Drosophila melanogaster: one gene and its partners. The protein of the gene in region 1 interacts with the protein of each later gene in a pairwise test. Each region holds a gene or a part of one and is shown in the gene's direction. Other genes may lie near its edges.

The links.
Region 2: the proteins of Tsp96F (region 1) and ng2 interact in a two-hybrid assay, tested with the Drosophila melanogaster proteins (one large-scale study listed by BioGRID).
Region 3: the proteins of Tsp96F (region 1) and Tpst interact in a two-hybrid assay, tested with the Drosophila melanogaster proteins (one large-scale study listed by BioGRID).
Region 4: the proteins of Tsp96F (region 1) and jp interact in a two-hybrid assay, tested with the Drosophila melanogaster proteins (one large-scale study listed by BioGRID).

What each region holds. Positions count from the first base shown.
Region 1 is NT_033777.3:25,878,408-25,883,112, reverse strand, and holds the start of Tsp96F (tetraspanin 96F), read left to right. Parts: upstream 1-1,685; 5' UTR 1,686-2,031; coding exon 2,032-2,097; intron 2,098-4,705.
Region 2 is NC_004354.4:3,239,508-3,242,492, reverse strand, and holds ng2 (new glue 2), read left to right. Parts: upstream 1-1,921; 5' UTR 1,922-1,958; coding exon 1,959-2,297; 3' UTR 2,298-2,467; downstream 2,468-2,985. Other genes in the region: ng1 (new glue 1), read right to left, coding at 1-43; ng3 (new glue 3), read left to right, coding at 436-876.
Region 3 is NC_004354.4:13,562,007-13,566,872, forward strand, and holds the start of Tpst (tyrosylprotein sulfotransferase), read left to right. Parts: upstream 1-1,816; 5' UTR 1,817-2,327; intron 2,328-4,866. Other genes in the region: CG32633 (uncharacterized protein), read left to right, coding at 1-810. UniProt on the Drosophila melanogaster protein: Catalyzes the O-sulfation of tyrosine residues within acidic motifs of polypeptides. Has a role in protein secretion.
Region 4 is NT_033779.5:9,563,739-9,568,641, reverse strand, and holds the start of jp (junctophilin), read left to right. Parts: upstream 1-1,891; 5' UTR 1,892-2,209; intron 2,210-3,203; exon of another isoform or gene 3,204-3,638; intron 3,639-4,903.

The sequences.
Region 1 (4,705 bases):
GCCCACGACGAATGTGAAAGTGAAATTGGCGAAGATACAGCATTCGCAGTGGCCAAGGGGCGAGGGGTATACCTCTAACATAGAAGAGAGTGGACTTTAAACATAAATATTTACCGCTACCTTCTACACAGTAGTTTATTTCGTGAGAAAGAAACACAATATAAGGGTAGCTTTTAGAAAAGCTGTACTTTTTTCTATTAAAACTTTTCAAAATATTAAATGAAACCGTATATATTATTATTCACATTTTTATTAGGATTTCTAGCAAGCTACTACATATTACTAATCCAATCTTGCTTGTAAACGTTTGCTAATATAATTATATTTACGTTGAAAACAGTGAAATGCGCTACATTAGCACCGCCGACGGGGGAACCAATTAAGTTTTTAAGTGCACTGAACGCGGAAAGCATAAAAACAAGTGCGTAAAGTGGGCGCAACGTTTTTCGTTTATTATGCAAAAAGAGGGGGGGGGAGGTAGGGGCTTTACTTTGGCAAAGACTGGCTTGCAGCGCTTGAGAAATTTTCAGTACGACTAAAGCTTAGGCTGCGCTTTAAGGTTTTTTCCTCGTTTTTCCATTTCGTGTTTGGTTACACTCCACTTCGTTCCACTTCATTCCATTTCCATTCCACAAAACTCCAACTTCGCTCCACTGCGTAACAAAATTACAAGACACACTCACACAAACTTGCAACAAGCCGACAACAACAACAACAGCAATAAGGGAAGGGGGGAAATTGTCATGTTTCTGATTTCAATGCAATCGAAATATATATTGAAAAACGTATGTGGTGCACTCGATACTCCCCAAAAAAGTTGGGGGACTTTTCGCTTACTTTGCCTTCACATTCACATTCGCGTTTGGCTGTATTTTCCTTGGTTTTTGTTTTTCCCTTTGCACCGATGTTCGTTTTCGCGATAAAAAGGTGTCTGCTACATTTTCACGCGCCTTTCATTTGCCTGCGAGCCGCTTTTCATGCATATTTCCACGATCTTCGGCGGTCGCTGCACTTAAACGTTAGACAGCCATTTTGCATTTGTTTCTATTAGTAACTATTGCGGAGGAGAAACAACAACGAATTAAACATTTCACGCTTTAGGCCATTTTCGCCTGCGCGAACAGTGTGACCGTTTCGCAGAAGAATGAACAAAGCATGAACTATTAAGGTCACATTTCAAACTGTTTACATTTACAGATTTAAATATTTTGGGAAAATCATAGCCAAAGTAAATCAAAAACCTGGAATATCCTAATTTTCAATTACCCACTTTCATAGTAATAATTAAATAGACATGTTAAAATAATGTAAACAACCACAAATTTATACTTTAAAATGAAATCTACTTTAAATATGGTGATTATAGCTGAAACATTGGGGATAATAGTTAGTTAGAATATCTAAATTTTTAATTTTTAACTTTCATAATAACAATCAAAAGGTTATTTGAACATTATGTAAACACTGAAACTAAATTACTTTTAACATTCAAGTGAAGTTTTTATTTTATTGGGAAAATTGGCAATAGAACTTATCCAAAATATCGATAGGCCACTTTGGTTTGCGTATAGGCTGCAAATCCAAGCAGGTTGCAAGCCATGCTAAGCCTCATCAAAGTTATTCAACCACTTCTTTGGTATCTTCTAAGGGTCACCACTTTTCGGTTTTTAGCCTTTCTATACCCGCTGGTATATTTGAACGGCCGAGCTAATGGTCGCACTGATACAAGAATTTTACGTTGGACGGACGCCTCGATGCACAAATAAAATTTTTAAAACAAATCGGGTGCAACGGCCAATCGCGCAAACAGTGGCTCAAATCGGTGGATTTTAGCACGGGAAATTTTAAAAAAATTTGAAAAATATAGTACAATCGAGCGGGTGTTTTGAAAAAGTGCAAAAGGTCGAAAAGTGCAGGCGACACTGCAGTTCGGGGTTCCTTGGAAAAAGAGCATCTCCAAGTGGTTGAAAAACCAGTTAAATTGCAGCTACTTTTTAAGGAGTTACCTATTTAAGAATATCAATCCGCGCCATGGGTCTCAACGGCTGCTGTTCGTGCGTCAAATATCTGATGGTCCTTATAAACATTTTATTCTGGGTATGTAGATTCCAGCAGCAGCAGCAACAACAACAATGCGAGATTCGGTTCTCTCCCATCACAACAACAACTGGAACACACGGACCTCCTTTTCGCGCGCGTGTGTGTGGGTGTTGCGTGAGCGAATGTGTGTGTGTTGTGTATTCCCTACGCCCCTCTTTCTCACGCTTGGCGCGCGGGCGGAGGGAGGAGCCGTGCGCACGCTCTTTGGAGTCCTACCGCTCTTTCAGTCCCTCTTTCCACTCTCTCGATCCCAGAGGTGCCCAAAACATAAGTTGAAACTTATTTAAGTACGGCTTGAAATATTTAATCGAAAAGGAAGTAAAAAATATAAATAAATAAATAATAAAATAAATATAATAATATATTAACTTAAATATTTTTTTTTTAATGAGCGGGCTTAAAAACATTAAATGGACAAGATTATATAAATATTCAAGTACGCGGTTAATTAAAAACATTAATAGAAGGGTTTTTCTTTTTGAAATTAAACAAATCGGTTTTGTTTGTTATGAACTATTTGACTTTAAATTATTTTCTACCATTTATAACTTCAAAACTTCAACTGGCTTTTAAAAGCGACATCACTGTATCTCTCCATCTCCCGCTCGCACTCCCTACCGCTCTGCTCGTACTCCCGCATAAAAACAATAGAAGTTCCGTTGTGGGAGGGGACACACACACACACAGACAGATAAACATTTAAGCATCTCCATTCCCACCTCCCACTGTTTTCTTTTCCCTCCACATGTTTGTTCAGTTGTTTTTCTTTTGCTTCTGTCTCTTCCTGTCTCTCTTTTTTTGTTTTATTATTTTTATAACGTATACGTGCCGTTGATATTTTTACAAACTTCGGTTGGCTTAATTCGGTAAAAAAGGACCTCTCCTCACCCCAAAAAAAAGGGTTTTACTTTCTTTGGCCAACTTATCTGCTTGTTGTTTTACGCAATTTTCGACTTTCAACATAGCCTCGTTAGGCTTTCAATTGTTTCCATTCAATTACTATCTGCCACAGCGATTGTTTGCGTTTGTTTTGAGTTTCCTTGAGTTTTTCTTGGGGTTTCCTCTTGTCTTCCGCGGCTTGCGAAATCAGTTTCGCTTTTCCTTTGGGCAACAAATTTAAAATTTTGATTCTTATGCGGGCTGATTTCTAATTTTTTTTTCGTTCGTTTGTTGATTGTTGCTGCCTTTTTTCGATTTCTGTCTATAGTATTTATTAGTCAAAAGCTATTTTCGAATACGGGCGAGGAACAACACAAACTTACGCGTCCGTTCAGTTTTTCGTTGTTGTACACAGAAAGAAAATACTGATGCCTAGCCAAGTTTCGTGTTTGGAAACTTTCGAATACCTTTCAATTATTTTTCGTTTATTGTATATATGTCATGTAAAAAAAATTAAAATTAACCGATCCCAATAAGATTATATCCAATAATTGGTTTCTGTGTAATGTTCCTTGATCTGTGATGTTTTAGTATTCATCGTTGTTGTTGTTGGATGCACAGTGGTGTGTTTGATTTCAGTGGAGGAACAATGAGCGATAGAAATTGTGATGTGTTTGTGATGCAGTTCGTTTCACTAATCGTTTGAACTATTTTTAGAGCGATTTATGGATGAAAGTGCGTCAGATATTATTTTATATAAGACTTTTTATACATTGTTTTGAGGCTATTCTTAGCCAGGGCATGTTATCAATTACCCCACAAAGCCATAATAAATTTAATAATAGTATTTTTATATAACTTCGCAAAAAATGACCACTGTCCGATTAGTTTTGAATCTCGCTCTCCACTGTGCATCGATTTCCAAACATTTCCATTTTCATCGTCGCCGTGGGGCATCGTGATCAAACGCCACGATCTCTGAGGACGCTGACGCTCCAATGGGGCCGATATCCCACATCCAAGATGCTGGGGGAGGCCTATGCCATAAGCGTCTAAAATGCTAAACGGCCGGCGCTGTCGTCATTGAAGTTGACAGTGACCAAAACTGAAAGATTTCCAAATATTCGGTCGACCATCTGACAATCCTATCCTGTCCACCCACTAAAAAAACCATTTATTTCAGCACAGTCAGACTTCCATAGTGCAGAATTCTTAAATTCCTGAAAAAAATGTAATCTTTTGCTGTGAATAAAATAATATTTAAAAATATTTCTCCAAGTAACGAAGCTGGCCTGTATCTATTTTCAATTCGCTGTGACATGTCACATCTACATACTTAATTCGCTGTGCTATTTTTCACTCAATTATTCATGAGTGGCGCTTCATTCATTTTTCAGTTTGTATTTTCAGCTTATGGCTGATGCATGATGGCTGTTGGCTGCGATTTGCCATCGATGCGGTTAATTGTGGGACAAAACTGTGACTGGACATGCAATGCAAGCCCAGCTGCCTTTTGGCCCCATTTTATTTTTTTTTTTGCAATTTAGCAGCAGTAAAATGCTCTCTCGTTTTCCGCTTTCGACGCCTCGGCTCTGAAAACTGGGTCAACGAAGGACTCTGTACATTTATTGGCCCATTCGGCAGGATTTTTGTTTGTTTGTCCTGGACACGCGACATAGTGTCAGATGTGTAAAAATATATGTGTGTGAAAACGTTCGGGGAATCG
Region 2 (2,985 bases), on another chromosome or scaffold:
CGAGGAAGGTGGCGAGAAGTACGAGTACCACGGTGATCTTCATGGTGAGCAAATGCTACAATAGATGCCTTGCTACTGATGCTGTCTTGAAGAACGAAAGCCAGCTTTTATAGTAGTCTTCTCAACTGGGTTTATCCTCTTTTGCAAATTTTTGTCAACAGTTTTGGCCAAAACAAAGGGAGCGTTTTTGCAGAACAAAAAACCCGCAAGTTTGTCAATTGTTCATTGTGCCCAATTGTTCAAACAGTCAAGTAAGTTAAGTGCAAATATATAATATAACTTTTAAGAAATGCCCAATTATGTATGTCCAATTTATATTCGCTACGCAAAAGATATGAAAGATTTTGTTACGTAATTGCTTAACTGTGGTAATTAGTATAAAAGACCACGGCCTCTGGCTGCAGACATCAGTTGTCCAGCCACTGGCCATCCAACATGCGCTACTCCTGTGTTCTTTTACTTCTGGCCACCGTTGCCTGTCTGCTAATCCCACAGACAGGTGGCTCCACGGCCACCACAACCTCAACTTCTGCTTCGGCTACCACCACCACTTCCGCCTCGGCCACGACAACCACTGCGTCGGATACAACTACTACCACAGCGGCTACCACAACCACTTCGTCCTCCTCCTCAAAGAGTAAAAAGAAGAAGAGGACGTATCACTATACACGTCATGTTTATAGGCCAAAGCGGATACGACATATCTATAGGCACAAGGCCGACGACGACGAAAGCTCTACCGATCGCACCAGCACACGCAGCCGTCGTCGTCGCCGCAGCAGTAGCAGCAGTAGCAGCAGTGGCAGCACCAGTAGCCGCAGTGGTAACAGTCGCATCCGCCGCAGGAGAGCCCGAAGTGCCCGACGCCTGTCTTAGTGACCACATCTTGTACAACAAACCAACTGATCTGATCGTGACGCCTTTGAAAATGTAGTTTTTCTTTTTGGTTTTCTTTTTTCCGTTCAAAACACTTAAGGCAAATAAAATGAATATTTCGATATTAGTTCATTCTGCTTATCAATGCCGCTTAAAGCATTTACTTATGCTTTTACTTATGCATTTACTTTACAAAACAGATCGAGATAAGAAGCATCACTTGTTGTTTAAAGTGTATGTCAAGTTCGTTACAACGTATAATTAACCATTGAAATTTTGATCAAATAGTTACTTTCAGAAAAAATATAAAGGGCATACTCCTACAATAAATGCTATATATTATAATCTTAAGTATTATTATCTACCCCAGACGTTATTTAATATAGTTAATAATAGCGCTTTCCTAAGCTACGTACACAATGTGTTTGTTTGTCTATAATTCAGACAAGCTACAAATGAAAGTAAACAATTTATGGCAAAATCATTTTAATTGGTTAATATTTTTCCATTATTTGCTTAAGAGAATAAGTTTAAAGCTGATGTGTTCCGTGTTTTAAAAGCCGTAGTATACTTTTTAGGGGAAATTATTTAAGTGGCAGAATATATAGTTGAATATAGTATAGTATATAGTATATATATAGTAAAGAATCTATATATATAGTATAGTATATAAAGTTGAATTTTTCTGCAGTTTTTACAATGCGTTTATCGTATATAGATTTAACCTAAGTCATTTGCATTTATTTAAAAACCAAGTAACGGTTGACAAAACTAGACTTCCGTTGGCATTAGTGGCTTAAGTGATTTTTATAATAACAGTTAATAAATTTTCGCAAAATGACAAGCTCCATACAAAAATAGATTATCATGCCTCTTGTACATGTGCAAATTTTATCTGTTTAAACAATTGTGCCAATACGAAAAATAGCGAATTTTTGTTTGGCCAAAAATAACATCTTTTCTTTGGCTGACACAGTTTGGCCGAAGAGGATAAACCCAGTAGAGAAGACTACTATAAAAGCTGGCTTTCGTTCTTCAAGACAGCATCAGTAGCAAGGCATCTATTGTAGCATTTGCTCACCATGAAGATCACCGTGGTACTCGTACTTCTCGCCACCTTCCTCGGCTGTGTGATGATCCACGAGTCGGAGGCGTCCACAACCACCACGTCCACCTCCGCCTCGGCCACTACCACTACTTCCGCTTCGGCGACCACCACTACTTCCGCTTCGGCCACCACCACCACTTCCGCTTCGGCCACCACAACAACAGCCTCACCTTCCTCGAGCTCAAAAAAGAAGACTGTCACTCACTATAAGCGAAAGGTCAAGAGGCCAAAGAAGGTCAGGAAAATCACAAGGAGAAGGGGTCTCAGGAGCCGCAATGGTCGCAGCAGTAGAAACCGCAGATCGGAAGAATAAGAGATCCAGGACCAATAGAAAATCCACGCCACTCTCAATGCTGAACCCCAGGAACCAATTGTTTTCTTTTTTTTTTATTTCTTAGTCCATAAGCTTAACTAACACTACAATAATTCTTTTACAAGTCAATTAAGAAATCATAAAAAAATATACATATTTTGTGACATGTCAGTCAAATGTTATTTATTCAGTTATTGGCCAAACAAAATTTAGCAACTAGTTGTTTTGCACAATTGTTTAAACATTTGAAATGCCTTTACTTTATAAATAAATATATGATGCGCATAAATGTGTAAGTTCTTGTATATTTTTTTTAACATCTATAGTGATTTAGCTAATCATTTTATATTAATTTTCAGAACAAATATTTTATTCATGATCATCTGAATGTGAATGCGAAATCTGAAATCCTTTTTAATAAGTTGATTAAAATGCAGACGAGCATTAAACATTTATTCGTCAAGGCTTTTCTGGGCCTCAAAAGTTGCGTTTCCATTGAAATCCATTAGCACAAAACCGAACTCGAGGAAACCCGCAAAAGCCCCAAAAGGAAAATTTGTGCAAGCGGCAAAATACTCGTAAGCAAAAACTTTTCAGCCCAAAAAAGCGAATGGGGAAATTCGAAAAGCTGTTGCCATAGATACCGCACACTCACACACATATATATATATATAGGTACATATATGTA
Region 3 (4,866 bases), on another chromosome or scaffold:
AATGCCGTGGTGGCTGGTCACGATTCGGACGGGGACACCATCTACGTGGGCCGTGCCTTCTTCTCCAACGACATGCTGCCGGCGAAGGTGATTCCCAACAAGGGCAAGGCCTACGTGGCGTATGCGCGCGAGGAGCACGAGCTGGAGAACTACGAGGTGCTTTCCGGCTACAACTACGAGTGGCTGTCGGCGGAGAACGGGGAGGTGCCGCCGGGCGCCGTCAAAGTTGGTCGGAATGTGGACGGCGAGTATTTGTATGCGGGCAGGGGTTATCATGCCGGCAGCTTAACCATGGGCAAGGTGCATCCATCCCACGGCTGCCTGTATATTCCCTACGATTCCGATGAGGTTAAGATCTTTGCCTACGAGGTGCTGTGCCAGCCGGAACGTTGGATCGACACCACCGCAACAAATATTCCGGATGGAGCTCTGGTTGCTGGGCACGATTCCAACGGGGACACCATCTACGTGGGCAGGGTGTTCCGCAATGGTGATCTGCTGCCAGCCAAAGTGGTGCCGGCGAAGGGGAAAGCCTATGCCGCCTATGCCCAGGCGGAGCACGAGCTCACCGACGTCCAGGTGCTGACGGGATCCGGATTCCGTTGGGTTCCGGCCTCGCACGGAAATGTGGCTCCCGGAGCCCTGTCCTCCGGTCCGAATGTCGACGGGGAGCCCCTCTACGTCGGCAGGGCCATCTACTGCGACAGCTTGAGTGTGGGCAAGATCCATCCCTCGCACGGCTGCATCTACATCCCATTCGGTGGCGAGGAGGTGCGTCTGGAGAATTACGAGGTTCTGGTGAGGATCTAGACGGACAGCTTTGCCTTTATTCCATTTTTTTTTTAATAAATCTATTTTTTACACACACAACAGAAGTATACAGATTAAAGTATAAATTTAAGTTTAATTCGATCGACATCGAGCAACGTAACTGATAAAATTTATGGTAATGCACCCAGTAATTCTAAAAAAAAAGTACCCCTTTCATAGAGTTTTGGTGATAATAGTTCAAAGTGGTTGTCATAGAAATTTCGAGGTATTGCGGATGTGAGGAATTTCTTCTATATGCGGGCCTTATGTTATCACATCGGTTATCAATTAGCAACAATCAATTGATTAGTTGGCCATAAATTTGCGTCAACTTGTAACATAATTAACCATTTGCCTTCGCCCACTGACTTAACAAACACTGCATCGTAAAACTCAGACAGATATCGCAGTTATCAGAATGTGTACATATATGCACTCGATGCTTTATAACTCGACCTTTCGTCTGCCGAGGTAAAAAGTTATAGGTATCGAAACTCTTTGTAACTTTCTTTGTATATTGAAAAGTTTATTAAAACGTTTCATAAAGTTAAAGTCAATTCATTAGTGGCGGGCGTAGCGTTTTATTTCATAGCTTATTAATGTGCACACGTTGTAATCAATACATGTTTTAAGCACTTATTTGACAGCACAAAGTTTCCCATGGAAATACTTTTTTTCGCAATTTATTTTATAGGAAAGTTGCTAAAAGGCCTTAATCTTAACACTATCATTGGCGCCACCTATGAGATGATTATCTGCACTAACCGTGGCGCCACCTATGACGAGCTGGAGAAAGTCGAGCCGTAGCAGTTTGCCTAACCGCCGACAGCTGGCGATTTAAGCTTTCGACTGGTTCCTGTCTTGGCTAAATGCATTGAGCTTTCTTTTCCAGTGTGACCGTTCCAGCGTAGTAACCAAACACCACGCCACACCATTGCGCCATACAGATATTTTAGGTAATTTCAGCGACGCCGCAGTCGACGTGCAGCCCGCTGCGCCCGACGGTCACACTCTGCCCCCAAACAGCTCCAAAATCGGTTGTCGTCGCGAAAAGTGCGAATCGAGTGCATATTTGCTGCAAAAAGAAGCGAGAACACGGTGACGTGACGAAAGCATTCGAGTGACGAAGAGTGCGAGCGCGCTGCATTTGTTTACGATTCCGATTCCGATGCCATTGGTCAATTGGTAAGGGGCTTTGGGAAGTGTAAGAGGAAGAGCGTGCGGCGCGGCAAGTAACGAAAGAAGAAGAAGCAGCAGCAGCAGGGCACACGCAACGTGCAACATTGTGTGCGAGCGTGTGTGCGTGTTTGTTTGTTTGTGTGACAAAAATACAACAAGTGCAAGCAACAATAGTTAGCGGCAGCAACAACAACAGCACCGAAACTCCTTGCCAGAACGAGACAGCAATAACAACAGGAGTGCGAAAGCGGGAGAGAAAGAGAGACAGCTGTTATTGTTGTTGTTGTTGCTTTACAATGTTTAATGGGAAACCTGCCGCCAAAACAACAACAAATCAGGTAAATATGCCGCTTAGCCAATTACATTCTGAAGCATTATTTATCTGCGCTGTTTACTTTGTTGCATTCGTCCCTAAATTGGTTTACTATTTACCTTTTAACTAATATAAATTCCTCGTTCTATATATGTTTTGCCTAATCAGTTAATTTATTGATATTTTAGCCGCTGTTGCAAGTAAAAATCTAGATTGAACTAGTAAGAGGCTTATCTTAAAAGTTTTTGATGAGTTGTTTCGTGTCATTCAATTTGATTTTCAACTTTGTACTTTTTTCGTCACCTACGTGGCCCTTTCGTAAAATATTGAGATATTGCAGCTTGTTACGTTTTCGAACTGGAAAGCAATGTTAATCATATTGTAGTTTAAGTTTATGTTTAAGTTTAAGTAACGTTTTTATTAACACTACAGCTTGCACATTTAAGCGTGAACAACAAAAAGCTGCCAGTGAATATATTATTATTATGATTTACCCGTAATATTTGTTCAACATTTTGAAATCCCATTAATATTTATTCAGTTTAGTGCCTGAAATTTGTATGCAGCTTATGTACTTATTTTAATGCATTTTCCATCAACAGTTAAGCTGTTATCTTTGCTTTTGCCATCGCTTTCGAAAAATGGGAATTATTTTTGCTGCGGTTACCACTTTTTGCGCTTTCTCGTCTCCTGGTCTTCATCACCTTCTTCTTCTGCGTCCTCTTCTTCTTCTTCTTCTGGTTCCTGCTGCAACTTCTTCTGCTTCTTCCTCCTAATGAGAGTGCTTCAATTTCAATGCAGTTTCTTTTTTTTCATGCAACTCGCGATTTTTTCACATGTGTGTGAGAATCTCCAGCTGCGGCTGACTGTCTGTGTGTGTGTGGTTGTGTGTGTGGTTGTGTGTGTGCTTGCGATTTGAAGTTGCAAGAAGGGGCGCTTCATCGGTTCGCCGCCCCCATTGCCACGCCCCGTTTGTACCTTTGGGCGGAATTTTCGTTTTATTTTGTCAAAGTTTGTTGCACTTTTCGCAGTCAGCAGCGCGAACAAGTCCTTTGCATCCTGCCTCCTTTTGTCCCCTAGTCCTTTTTTTTATCCGCCAACATTTTTTCCATTCCTCTTGTTTTTTGTTTTTTCGTTTAATACATTTTTTTCTTTCAACAATTAGTCGCAGCTGCTGGAAGAGGGCAGAAATGCAAAAATGCACAAATGCAGCGGTAGAAACAGACACATAAAACGGCGATAATAGACAAAAGCGGTACAGTGAAGAACCAATAAGAAAAACATTAAAAAAAAACAGGAGAACAAATTCGTTGAAAAGATGTATTTTGAAATCTAGAAAACCATTTAAAGTTGCAAAAAAGGTGCAATTCAATGGACTTTTTATAATCCTTCAAAAGTTCTTATGAGAACCACTAAAAACATCTTAACTAATAGAAAATGCACTCAGTTGACTTTCACAAACATAACAGATACTATTTCAAAATGTATCTTTTAGGGCCAGTGAGCACTGTATCTGTGTCTACGTCGCATAGTATCTCTGCGCTGGCTTATTTATGTACATATTTCACTTGGCACTTGTTATATTTATACGCTCCACACACACACTTACAGCTCCTCCCCTCACCCTTCCCCCTACCCGTGCACCCCCCAAGCCCTTCTCCTGTGTGTCGTCATCAGTATGCCAGTTGTCACTTCATCTTTTTAAATGCGCCTCATGGTTTTCAATTTCGAGAAACAAGTGGCCCAAAAGTGCTGCTGCCCAAGTGCCCATATTACATCTACACACAGAAAAAAAAACTCAAGAAATTAGCCATTTATAAGACACTAAGACAATAAGGCCTGAAAATAAAGAAACGTTTATGCGCGACTTTGCAAGAAGTTATTTAATTTCAAATGCATGGATCTAAGCAGTTTTACATATAACTGAACTAAATAAAGTCATATTCTGCAGGAAATCAATGTTCAGCTTCTAGTTTTATTTCTGAACTATCTTATAGATATTTAACAGAATAAGTCCATAAAAGATTTGGCTTAAATCGAAACATAAAAGAATTAAATATTCTATCTATCTTTTAGCATTCTTTTTAATAAAGATGTATCTATAACCTGACAACAAATCGAAGACTAATCTAATAAATATCTGAATAGTAAGCAAATATTCCCTGTGTATTCCCCCACCCCCTTTTGCTGTCTTCGCATGACGCCTCTTTGGCTTTCGGGCAAACTGCAGCCAAATGAAATTAGTCATTGGAATAGTTGGCTTAAAAGGAGCTGCCAGCGAGCACGACAGATATACGGATGCAAACTCAATAAGCCAACTAAATGCAGAATTCAAATTTATCCGCTCGGGCACAGAAACTCGCGCACAATTTGCACACTTTTCGCCAGATTCAATTCTTAAAGAGAAGAAACCCTCCTCCTCCTCCTCCTCCTCCTCCTCCGTAACAGCAAAGTTCAGCAAATCCGTTCAGATACCGAGCCATAGGATAGAGTCATATATACCATCACCATTACCATCGCCATTACCATCGTTCGTAATTCTTTGGAGCGGCGTAAAATCATTA
Region 4 (4,903 bases), on another chromosome or scaffold:
CAATTAAACACGTATTCCCTCAGTGTATCAACCAGTATCTATCGGCTACGTAGAACACTGAAGCAACAGCAACAACATGACACGAGTGGACGGCGAGCAAACAGAGAACAACGCACACTCTCCGCCGCACACACACAGATACTAACACGGACACACACCAATGCGCCAATACAAACACACACAGCTGGCTGCTCAACAGCAGGGAACTTTTTATTGTTGTTGCTGGCAACGAACAACAAATAAGACAAACAATGCACACGCACACGAATGACGAGTGTTTTCGAGTCGGAGAAACGGCAACTGCGCGGTACGAAATGCAAAGATACAGATACAATGAGTTGGTTGTCGGTTGTGGAGGGTAGGAAAGGGACACAGGCCAACAAAAATAGTTGCACTGCATCAAGAGTGTTGCCTGTCGTTAGAGGCTAGTCACCCACCCCGAAAGGATCTCTCAAAGGATCAGCGGACTACTAGGTAATCCTGATCGAAATCGATTGATTCAAATGGATTTTCAAAAGATATATCATGTTCAAGATCTTTTTGTTGGGCAATACAATTTTTACATATGTATGTTGATTGTTATGTTGAATATAACTTCAGGCTTATTATTACTGTCTAATGGTAATGTTTCTATTTATTTCCACGTCCATTAACATGTATAATTGGTTTTCCCCAAAATATGTTAGTGAACAGGTGACAGTCGCAAATAGAAAATACACATTTTTTACGCTGTAACTCTGACAAAAAAAATAAAACACAGGAACCCAAATAGTTTACCTGAAAACTTACCTGCGAATTTCCAGTGATCATAATTCCATTGTGCGCTTCTTCTTCTTCTTTGCTCTAACTCTCAGGGAACATTGAAACAACAACAGTTGCTTACTCAGCACCGCACACAAACATAAACTGCGCTCTCACGGACACTACAACAGCTGTCGCTCTCAGAACCAACAACAAAGCGAGCAAACAAAAATCATGTTGTTGTTGCTCACAAAGCTTTGCAATTTCTCTGCCGCTAACATCGCTGCTTTTGTGTAGTTGTTGCTGCCGCCCGAGTTGCCAACAAGCTTTCCAACAACATTTGTTTACATTTCAAATTTATTAGGCGAGCTTTTCGGACATTTGAACAAGCTTCGTGGGCTACTCGCTAGGTGGCGCATGCTACTTCCGGTATAGATTTGAACAGCTATTTTTTTTAATTTACTTCAGAAATAAAATAAGCATTTATGCATATTTAAATATAAATAGATAAATATACCTGTTTCAGTTTCGTTAGAATGCACAATTTACTCTTGACTAAATGACTTCCGAGCAAACAAAATATTTAAACAATATTGTTAATAAAAAATAAGAAATGATTACTTAAGCTCTTACGTTTCCCTCCAACGGTCATTTGATATGTCATTATCCAAACACTCATATTGTTATTCACACGCGAAAAGCTCGACAAAGCTCAAAAGGACTCACTCCTTAGGCCAAAACTGTCAGGGTTTATGTATTCCGCCTGACAGCAGACCACCAACCCAGTTATTTCCAGCACTTTAACGATTTGTTTACAACTTTGTTGCCCTGCAATTTACCGCTAGCATACGGACCTGCCAGCCAGCCCAGCTTTTCACCCCTTTCCGACCGCTTGGAAAAGCTTTTCTCGGCGGGCAGGATGTCTTGTCCTGCGTGTGCTCAAAAATTCAATAAAAAGGAGGCTCGTTTCTGTTGTGGCCTACATGCCACAGCAAGGACGAGCAATCGGTTACCGAGCCGAACGCGGCCCGAGGAAAACTTGGTCACCGGGTGGGTAATGGGAAATGGAAAAGGGCCGAAAATGGGGGCGGGTGGCGAAGCAAGGAGCAAGGAGAGAGCTTCCAAGTGCAGCGGAGCTCAGTTGCCATAGGACAGTCGAGGCGAGTGCTCGTCCTTGGTCGCAACGGGCTCCCGGAAAAGCGGTCCATCGGCTGTCGAGTGTCATTGTTTTGGTTACGCGACTGCCCCGCTAGTGTTGGTGACCATCTGTGTGCGCTTAAAAATATATTCGACATGAATTATTTACGCAAAACGAGTGCTGGAAAGTTTTGAAAAGTGCGGAGAACGAGTGCGGAGTTGAGTAAGCGGAAAGTTTTGACTCGAAGAACACTTTGTCTGACAATTTGCAGCGGCATCAAGGATGCAGTCTCCTTTGCACTGGGATGAAGAATGCATTTTCCGAAGCGCAGTATGTGACTCTTTCTCTTTTCAGTGAAAAACCCCCCTCCATTTTCGCGCTCTGTCGCTCTCTCTCTCTCTCCCGCTCGCTTCCTATTGTTTTTCTCAGAGTGTAGAGTTTCGATTTCGTTAGAAAATCGAAACAAAAGCGAACCAGGCTCTCGAGGAATTGTGGGAGTCGTTGCTGCGGCTACCTGTAGATGCCACATAAACACACACAGATACGAGCGCAAGGATGCGAGTGTGTGCGAGTCCTTGAACGAGGCTTTCGGTTGCCCACCCACATGCCACATCCGTATCCGTATCCATGTCCATGGCTGCCTTTCACTGCCCGCTTCCGACTCTAATTAACTTATGATTCAAGGTCCAATACGCTGCCACTGAAGGTTAAACATGACGACCCAGCGATTTTCGGTGGGGGTTTTTTCGTAAGAAACTTTTAAACAGCCCGCTGGCAGCTGTAATTGAGCGAATTCCGCGGAAGCTGCACTAAACTTTTACCAAGAATCGGCAGGAGTCAAGTTTTTGCCGCGACCTAACTCGAAAGTCGTGTAATGCGATAAAGTGGAAACTTAACCAGGGATCATCTAGTAGTTAAGCGCACACAAGTCGTAATTTTATTTGGCTGCCAGGACCCCAGAGACTCGTCGGCAATTAAGGCTGGCCAAACAATAAGCCACTGGGCGAAAACCCAAAAGGAACAAAAAAACAATTAACGTTCTAGAGTGGAAAACCCGCATTACGCATACGCCACGTCGGCAGTCTGGCAACTTTGAGGTGCGACCTCCGGGGGCTGTGGAAAAGTAGCGGGGGCGCCGGAAAAGCTCTTTCCCGCTGACCACCGGCGGTGCCATCATACTCTCTCACCTCCCCGAGAAAAATCCCGCCCCAAAAAATGCAGCAGAGAGCGGTTTCTTGCCGCTTTTTTTTTTTGTTTTTTGGCTGCTCCGCCGAAAAACATTTTCATTTCTCGCCTGAGCAGAAATTTCAATGATTTCCCTAGCTCAGTGTGAAACGAACCAACAACTCAAACGAAACGAACGCAAACGCGCGCGCGAGAAAAACAAACTAGAATAGAATAGAAGAAATTAACCTCTCCGCCGAAAAGGGAAAACCCCCAAAAAATATATAAAATAACACACGAAACGCTGAGGTCGGGGGCCCTAACCCAATGCTAACTGTAAACAATAATCGAACAAACGAATTTTTAAATTAACAGCGAATGAGTAATACCTGAGCGATTTATTAATCAGAAGCCGTGCGAGCAACAAAGAATCCACAAGTAGCTGGCCCACGGATAGATAAATAACTGCACAGATAATTGCTGGTACACGGTACTGGGCTCTATAAATAGCATCGAAATAATCGCGGAGACAATTGCAGGGCACTGGTGCAAAGTGAATGCGACTGAGTGCTGCCGGGCGGAACGCCGAGGATCTGTGAGTAGATAGAATAATATCCCCCAAAACCGCCGCATCCCGATCGCCTGGCTGCGAAATCGAAATAACAAACTTCAGTCACCTTGCGTTCTGCGTCACACACTCGGATACTTTGGGGAATGGGAGTCGTGTGGCATGGGTGTTTGCCTTCTCCATCCTCGCAACTACAGTAGAGCTTCCATGGCTTCAGCTGCACCTATTTCAAATGTCTGAGCCTATTTTGTATTGTAATTTAACTACACATGCTATTTATTTTCTGATCTTCCTGGTCAAATATGATATATTAATTAGTTTTTTAATTATCAATTCAAATTTTTATAGAGGTCATTAAATCTTCTAGTTCTCAGCACTTCTTCAATGGGATATTTATTTATATTTATTTAGCATAAAAGCTTTAAAGTGTACACTCAGTGTGAAGCTTCACTGTATTTGCCATTTGCCGTGTTGTTACTGCTGGTACTGGTACCACACGGCGTATGGGTGATGGCGAGCGGGCCAGCGGTTGGATGAGTGGTGCACACTTTTTATAGCCAGCAACAGTCACACAAGCCGCACAATCAAGCGCTCGTCTCGGTGTTTATGTCAATTTGAATTTTGCATGCGGCCAACAAACTTGAATGTGTCCTTTATGTTGGTGTTGTTGCTTGCGTTCTGAAATGTATCGGTAGGAAAAGGAGGTGTGGAAATGGGGGGGGGGTCGGTTTGGGGATACCGGAAGCTAACTAGAACTGCGCTTCATTGCAACTTTGTGTGCGACCTTTTGGTTTTGGAATGTGTGGGCAGTGGGCGGGGCACTTGTCGGGCGGAAACGGATATCCCGTGTGCTCTTTGCCTAGTTCGCCATCGCCGCCAAGCGCGTCTCCTGTTTGTCATTTCATCAACCTTCTTCTGGCTCCTAGCAGCTCCTCCTTCTGGTGTCCTTGCACATTTGCTGCGCAGGAAATTTTAAATCGAGTATGTGCCCACGGGTTGTCTGGTTGCATTTTGCTGTTTTTGCGGCTTTCTTGTTTGCTCTGCTTTCTGGGTGAGTCCTGATTTTTTTTCGGATTTCCCATCCTGTTGGCCACTGGGTCAGATTTGTTAGTTCACAAAGTTCACAACAGACGCAATAAAAGGAATTTTTAAAGCCACATTAAGATGGAACTGAAACTTTAAAGATTTTTCAAAAATTGTTTAAAAGTATAATTTTTCCGCATTTTTAAATGCTCGATATTTTTTGCAGTGTGTCGCGTTGGGTCGAAATGTATCTTCTACACGGCAGCAGA